Caenorhabditis elegans: one gene and its partner. The protein of the gene in region 1 interacts with the protein of each later gene in a pairwise test. Each region holds a gene or a part of one and is shown on either strand. Other genes may lie near its edges. The genes, in order: lido-15 and pas-4.

What was found.
Region 2: the proteins of lido-15 (region 1) and pas-4 interact in a two-hybrid assay, tested with the Caenorhabditis elegans proteins (2 studies listed by BioGRID).

What each region holds. Positions count from the first base shown.
Region 1 is NC_003280.10:3,810,281-3,814,185, forward strand, and holds lido-15 (MADF domain-containing protein), read left to right. Parts: upstream 1-2,001; 5' UTR 2,002-2,025; coding exon 2,026-2,510; intron 2,511-2,564; coding exon 2,565-2,781; intron 2,782-2,835; coding exon 2,836-3,066; 3' UTR 3,067-3,148; downstream 3,149-3,905.
Region 2 is NC_003279.8:8,726,392-8,730,008, forward strand, and holds pas-4 (Proteasome subunit alpha type-7), read right to left. Parts: upstream 2,097-3,617; coding exon 1,998-2,096; intron 1,737-1,997; coding exon 1,485-1,736; intron 1,439-1,484; coding exon 1,142-1,438; intron 1,062-1,141; coding exon 948-1,061; 3' UTR 827-947; downstream 1-826. Other genes in the region: rpb-3 (DNA-directed RNA polymerase RpoA/D/Rpb3-type domain-containing protein), read left to right, coding at 2,378-2,500, 2,555-2,689, 2,737-2,862, 3,015-3,262, 3,312-3,400, 3,446-3,573. UniProt on the Caenorhabditis elegans protein: The proteasome is a multicatalytic proteinase complex which is characterized by its ability to cleave peptides with Arg, Phe, Tyr, Leu, and Glu adjacent to the leaving group at neutral or slightly basic pH.

The DNA of each region.
Region 1 (3,905 bases):
TTGCCGGAATTGAAAAATTCCGGCAGATTGCCGGAATTGAATGTTTCCGGCAAATCGCCGGAATTGAAAATTTCCGGCAAATTGCCCATTTGCCAAACGACAATTGCCGCCCAACCCTGAGTTAAAAACCAGTTTCCCTGCTTCCAAAGGCGACCAGAGAAAGAATAGGCAGTAGGCGCATACGCCTGCCTACCTAGGAAAACCTACTCAATTCTTATGTTAAAGCTTCATCTCTTCATATCAGCATCTCCATGACAACAATTTTGTTTTCAAATTTGTTACCTTGCTCCGCTGTGCTCCCCTCCAAAGGCGTTTAATATCAAAAGTATAATATTTATGGCTGCACACACACATTATCAAAAACTTTGTCCCCCTCTTTCCCTGCGCCTCCACCTCTCTATCTCGTTTTCTATAATTCTCTCCCAGTTTTCTTGCTGACTAACAAAAAGCGACGCGGCGTCAACAACAAATTTCTTGTCGTCTCCACCCCACGGCCAGTCTGCGTCTCTTCGTCTCCAATGCTCTATCTCTCGTCCAGTTTTTCATATCTTTCCCCCCTTCAGTCCACATTATTATTTGCCGCACTCCACATTTTTGCAGCACGTTTGTCACAACTAGTATCGACTTTCAAATCGTAGTTGACAACTGACAAAACTAATTTTCAAAAAAGTTTAATTTGCGTTTGGTAAACTAAAAAATATCTTTTAATTTGTGGTTCAATTCAGACGTGGGCGACAATTGCCGTTTGGCAAATTTTTTGAAATTACCGGTTTGCCTTTTATCCGGAAATTTTCATTTTTCGGCAAATTGCCGGTTTGTCGTTTGCCGGATATCAGATTTGCCGGAAGTTTTCAGAGTGATTTTTTATAAGACGAAAACATTTAAAACTATGCTTTTTTGAAATTTTTGTACCGTTTTCATTAAATATTTTCATAGAATTTGCTTAATTTTCAAAATAAATGTAGGAACATTCATAGAATGCGTACAATTTTGCCGCTTGAAATTGAAAATTTGAAATTTCGAAAAAAGAAATGTGCAAAATTACAATTGCCTTTTTTCCCGCAAATTCGACAACTCGGCTATTTGCTGATTTGCCTGAAATTTCAATTCCGGCAAGTTGCCGGTTTGCCGATTTGCCATAAATTTCAATCCCCACAAATTGCCATTTTGCCAGTTTGCCGGAAATTTCAATTCCGGCAATTTACCATTGGCCGGAAAAAAGCGTCATGGGTCTTGCCGCAAGCTAAACGTTCCTAGCTACAGTACCCCGTGGCGAGACCCAAAAAAATGTTCAATTTCATATCATTCCCTGACTTTATTATATCAACAACTTTCTCTCTCTCCCTCAGCAATTTCCTTTTTTCTCTGCTCCCCATCACTCTCCTTGAACATTTTTCCTTGCTGCCTAACAAAAACGCGTCAACAACAAATTTCTTGTCGTGCTCAACATTGTCTGCGTCTCTTCGACCTCTTTTTTATGTCCCAGTTATCATGCTGAAAGTTTTTGTCGTCGAAATGAAATATGTTACTCTAAAAAAAGTTTTTTTTTTCACTTTTTCTCTTCCCACTTTTATCGAAATTCATCGTCAAAAAATGTTTTAATATTGACTTTTCGCTTCACTAAGTTTAGCTTTACACCTTTCTCGAGAAAGGGGTAAAGCTGCAATTGCGCTCCATTGATAAACTTACTGGCAACGTGGGGTCCTGAACTATCAGTTCGCGTGGTGCCAAGGTGTCCCATGATCTACATGAATCGCGGGAAAGTAGACGCGTCAGCACGCCGATTTCTCATCTGATTTCGCAAGGTACTGACGTCACATTTTTCTTGGCAAAAAAGATTCCGCATTTTTTGTAGATCACACCGTAATGGGATAGCCTGACACCACGTAATAAATAGAGAAAAAAATTAATATTGCTAATCTCTGTCTCTTTCAGAATCTTTTAGTTTTTATTTAAAAAAAAACAAATTTCTTTTTTTTTAACTAAAAACTTTAAAAATTTTCAGAGTTCAACTTGATGCTCGCGATGAACGCCACCGACTACCGAAAGCTCACCGAGCACATTGAGGGGACCAAGTTCCCGATGGACAATCTCATCAAAAAAGTATTTCTGAACATTTTGGAGCCAAAAGAAGACCTATGGAATAGCAACCAAAAAATTGATCGGGAACGCTGGGAAACGGTCGGAATCGAGCTTTTTCAGCGGACAGGAATCCTGGTTTCAGTAGATCAAATGCGATCCGGATTCCGAAGTATCAAGTCGAATCTCGGCCAGCGTCTTCACAATTGTGTCCAGAGCGGAATGAGCAGAATCCAGACTGAGCTTGAGCTTCAGAAATGGGAGCTGTTCCAGGATCTTCGGTTTTACTATGACAAGCTTTACAAGTATCGGCAGTTGCGAGCAGAACGAACAGGGAATGAGGCGAGGAATTCGGAGCCCGTCAGCGGAGAGGATATGCAATCGTTCTTCGAAGAGCCCGATATGATGTCGTTGGTTGAGGAGAATGATAGGTAATTTAACTTGTAGTCTTGTATTTAATTTTTCTAGAAAATTCCAATTTTCAGCGCCATGAAGTACCTCTCATCTCTTATTCCACAAGTCTCATCGACCTCGACTCCCACCAAGGTTAAGCTGGAGAATCCATTTCTCAATGCTTTCGAAAACCCGATGAATCTGAGGCATGAGCTGAGTCAGATGCTCCAGGCAAGCTCGTCGAGTTCTTCAATACCTTCACCTATCTCTCCACCAGTGCCGAATCCAAAAGCAGAGGATGAGGAGAAGGTATCGTTTTTTAGACTTATTTGCAATATTCCTCAACATTTTGAAAACTTTCAGCCGTCTCTAAAACGCCCTCGAGAATCCAGCCCAGCGGCAGTAGAGACAGAACGAATAAGCCAGCAAATCAAACGAATTTTCGAGCAATATCCCGAGAAAACCAATCTGATCCGGTCTGTGCTCACCTACACCGTGCTTGCTTTTGATGAGCCCGACGCGGATTTTTCGACGGCTTCAGAGGTGTTCGGCGATCTAGCAGCAAGGTTTCCAGTTCGGAACTCAAAGCGATGAATCTTTTTAATAATAAAATTGTTTGTTGATCTACGTATGTTATCGAATAACTTTATTTCCAAATAAAAAAGCAACATTGTAGTATTAATATGGGCACGGTTCCCATCTATTAACCGCCGAGCCGTCTTTAATTCCTGCGCTTCTCAGTGTTTCGTCAACTCGGAGCTTACTATCTGAAAAAAATTATTGTGCAGTGATAGCTGAAAAAATATGAGTTTTTGGTTTTTAGCTGATTTATAAGACTTAACAATTAACTAGAATATAAACTGCAGATCACAGCGCCTCAAATCGGGAGAGTTGTGAAAATCGAGAATTGGAAAGTCCAACGGAGCGCGCTTGCACACTTTTACGGTATTAAATGAATTTCACGCGAAATTTCGCGATTATTCGAGTTTTCAAGATGAAATTTGGAAAAAATAATTAAATATTGGGATTAATATTGCTTTAAAAAAAATTAAAAAAAAAATTTTATTGAACAAATTCAATATTTGGTTGATTTATCATTGATTTTCGAACCGATTAGAACAAGTTAACTCTATGACAAAATTTCTACGCGAAACCAATTTTTCAAGCATCAATATGCGTGATTCCAATTTTTAAACGTCAGCTTGATAGAAATAACACGGTTTCAAGTCTTGAAATTGCTCAAAAATACCCAAATTAACGGAAACTGTTTAGTTGGCAGTTGATCTTCACTAAACCAACACTAAATGTTCAGATGAAATCAAAACTTGTTTTATCATTTGAAAAAACATTTTTGAATTATTGTTCCTCACAAAAATCAGATGATAAGTAGTATTGCATGATGAGAATCCATATACAAACCACTACAAGTACAA
Region 2 (3,617 bases), on another chromosome or scaffold:
TGACTTCCATAAATCGGCAAAAGCGCTACAGTAGTCATTTAAAGCTACGGTAGTTTTCGCCACGAGTATCAGTATACGCATTATCAGAATTTATTGCTCCCTCAATATGTAAGGCGTATATTATGATTAATATTCTGAAAGTCTTTTTTATTTTTGAAACTAATTTATGTAACAACGTTTTTGAAAAATAATTGTTATCGTCTTCAATTATATAAAACGAAGTTCCAGAAAATTGTTGAAAATAATTTTATGGTAATTTTTATATAATAGTTTATTATATAAAAATTAGATCTTATTAATAGATCTAATAAAATTAATAGATCTAATATTTGAAAAAAAAAGTAGCCGTAGGGCAATGGCATCTTGTAAGTCTAGGAGGAGACTTTTGAAGGCTTATAAATGAAATATATTCAAATTTGCCTCCTTTCCCTCTTTTTGTACCGCTCACTTTTATTCGGAATTTCACCGAAAAGGTCCTCTGCTTGGGAGAGGAAATGTATAGAACAATTTGCATAACCACTGCCACTTCAATCGGTTCATCGAAGAATTTTGAATGAAAAATGAACTTCAGGAAAAAAAATGACTGTGATTATTATTGCAGAGATTATGCGTTCTATTCGAAAATGTAGGTTAACTTATAAAACAAATCTCATTTAAGGATACCATATTTCAGAAAGCTAGAAGTTTCAGAAACCATTGCTCGCCGAATTGGAATTTTCTTTATATATATTTTTCTCTTTTTTTCAAATGAACCCCACAATTATCTTGTCATTTCGAATATATAGCTTCTTTCTTTTCATGGTTTTAAAGGAATTTCGAAGATTTTAGGGAAAACTTTTTCATTCCCGTCAATAAAGATGAATAAAATAAATTAGGTTTTGAAAAGGGGAGCAGATAACTGGGAAATCAATACACACGGATAATGGACAGAAGACAAAAGTTCGAATCTACTTCTTCTTGGATGCAGCCTCTTCAGCCTCAGCAGCCACACGTTCTGTCTCAACAACCTTCAGGAGAGCCTCGATTTCTTCAGTTGACAATACACGTTGCTGCAGCTCATCCTAAAAAATTAAAATTAAGGACCATCTTCAATTTAAAAAAATGTTATTACTGAAAATAATCTCAGGTGGAAATCACTTACATTAACTTTTTTCATGACTGCAATCTCGATATTTTGTGATCCTGGTGGTACGACCTGAGCCAGCGACTTTACAACCAATTTAAGAGTGGTAGCTTCGTCGACAGTATTTTCCTCGCTGTATTGCTCCTCAAGGTATTCACGCACTGGTTTCTCTCCTCTTCCAGTCGCGTTGGCAACGTACTCGTAGTAAGCTCCAGATGGCTCGGTTTTGAAAAGACGTGGAGTTCCGTCATGATCGAATCCTCCAATGAGCATTGAAATTCCGAATGGGCGACGTCCTGGAGATTGTGTGAAGCGCTGAAAATCAGTAAAAGTTATGCTTGCATAAATAAAATATTTATACCTGCTTCGTGTTTGCAATATATCTGGAGATATAGGCAACGGTAACTGGATCTTCAAGAGTCAACTTGTACGACTGGCACTCGATACGAGCACGATCAACAAGAACACGAGCATCTGCGGACAATCCAGCAAAAGCGAGCATCACATGGTCGTCGATCATATGAATTTTACGGATTGTGCGGTCATCTTGAAGAGCTGGAATTGACTTCTTCTCAACACCGATAACAATGCAATCCTTTCCGCGAACACCGACCTGAAACATTCATAATTATAACTTGAGGTTTTAAAAATAACCGTATTATTTTGAACCATAATTCGGGAAATTTTAGATTTTTAGATAGATAATATCAATCATCTACATTGAATTTTTTGATTTATTTTTAAATATAAAACGATAAATAGATCTAAAATCTTCTTGAATCGGGTGCTTCAATTCTAGCTGATATCATATTCATATGAAAGTGCAACTCATATAATTTTCTGCCAACTGATTTTCATCAGGGGAACCACTCACCGCAGTCGAACCCTTCTTGACAGCTTCCTGGGCATATTCCACTTGGAACAAGTGTCCATCAGGGGAGAAGATAGTGATAGCACGATCGTATCTGTTCATCTGAAAAATTTTAAAATTTGAAATAACTCTGAACCATTTTTAACTTTAAAACGAAAAAATAATTAAAAAATGATTATTTGAAATTGTGCAGTGACAAAAGCGCACAGTTGAAATGAGTGTTACCGTACTTCGCTTACCAACCGAGAACCTGAAACGACACTCCGAAATAACGAATGTGCGTGTTGTTTAGCGACGTTTTGTTTTGAATTTCTGTTCGACTTAAATGTTTTCAATTCAATAATTAGATTTTTCATTTTTCCTTATAATAATCATTTTTAGTAATGCCGTACGCAAATCAACCTAACATCGAGGTTACCGAACTGACAAATGATATAATCAAGTTTGTACTGTGGGACACTGATTTGAGTGTCGCAAATTCACTGAGACGAGTTTTCATGGCAGAAGTGAGTTGTTTCCTGTTTACCATTACTCTTTCTATATTTTTAATTACATTTCAGGTGCCAACCATAGCTATTGATTGGGTTCAAATTGAAACTAACACTTCTGTCCTCCACGACGAATTTATTGCACATCGCATGGGTTTGATTCCGTTCATATCTGATTATCATGTCGAAAAAATGCAATACACCAGAGTAAGATAGGGTTGAATCTTTCACAACTTTTTAAATGTTGGTTTTAGGATTGTGAATGTGCCGAGTTCTGCGATGAGTGTTCGATACCGTTCATTCTGCAGATGAAATGTAAAGATGAAGCTACTTTGGCTGTTACTACCGAGCATCTAATGCCAATGCATAATTTAGACACGGTAAATTTAAAAAAATGCAACTCATTTTTTTTTAATGGAGTGAATTAAATTTCAATAATAATATTAATAACGTTTAAATAAAATCGATGAGCAATCTTATTAGGGTCCGTACTTCACTACATTTGATAAATATTTGAATTGGAATTTTACAGACCGTCCGACCAGCTTGTGGAAAAGCACTACGTGAGCGTGGATCGACCCGTGACGAATTTCACAACAGAGAAGAGATTCTGATTGTAAAATTGCGTAAGGGACAAGAGCTTAACCTAAAAGCCTATGTTAAAAAGGGTTTCGGAAAGGAACATGCAAAATGGAATCCCACCTGTGGAGTTGCATTTGAATATGATCCAGACAATGCTCTCCGACATACAATTTATCCGAATGTTGAGGAATGGCCAAGGTAAGAACTATTATCAGTATTTTGTGAATTTCGTACATTTTTTTTGCAGAAGCGATCATTCATCTTTACCAGAAGACAGCACTGAAAAGGAGGCACCATTCGAGCCGGACAACAAGCCTAACAAGTTCTGGTTCTCTAGTAAGTCACGGTCAGATATTTTGCTTATAATTTTAAATGTTTCAGTCGAAGGAACTGGTGCTCTTCCAGCACAGCGAATCGTGACAATGGGAATCGGAATCTTGAAGAGAAAACTGGAGGAACTAAATATGGCTCTTTCAAATGAACTTCAAGCTCATGCCCAGCAGCAGTAAACTATTTGGATCTCTAATTTATTTACGTTATTATTAACTCTTCT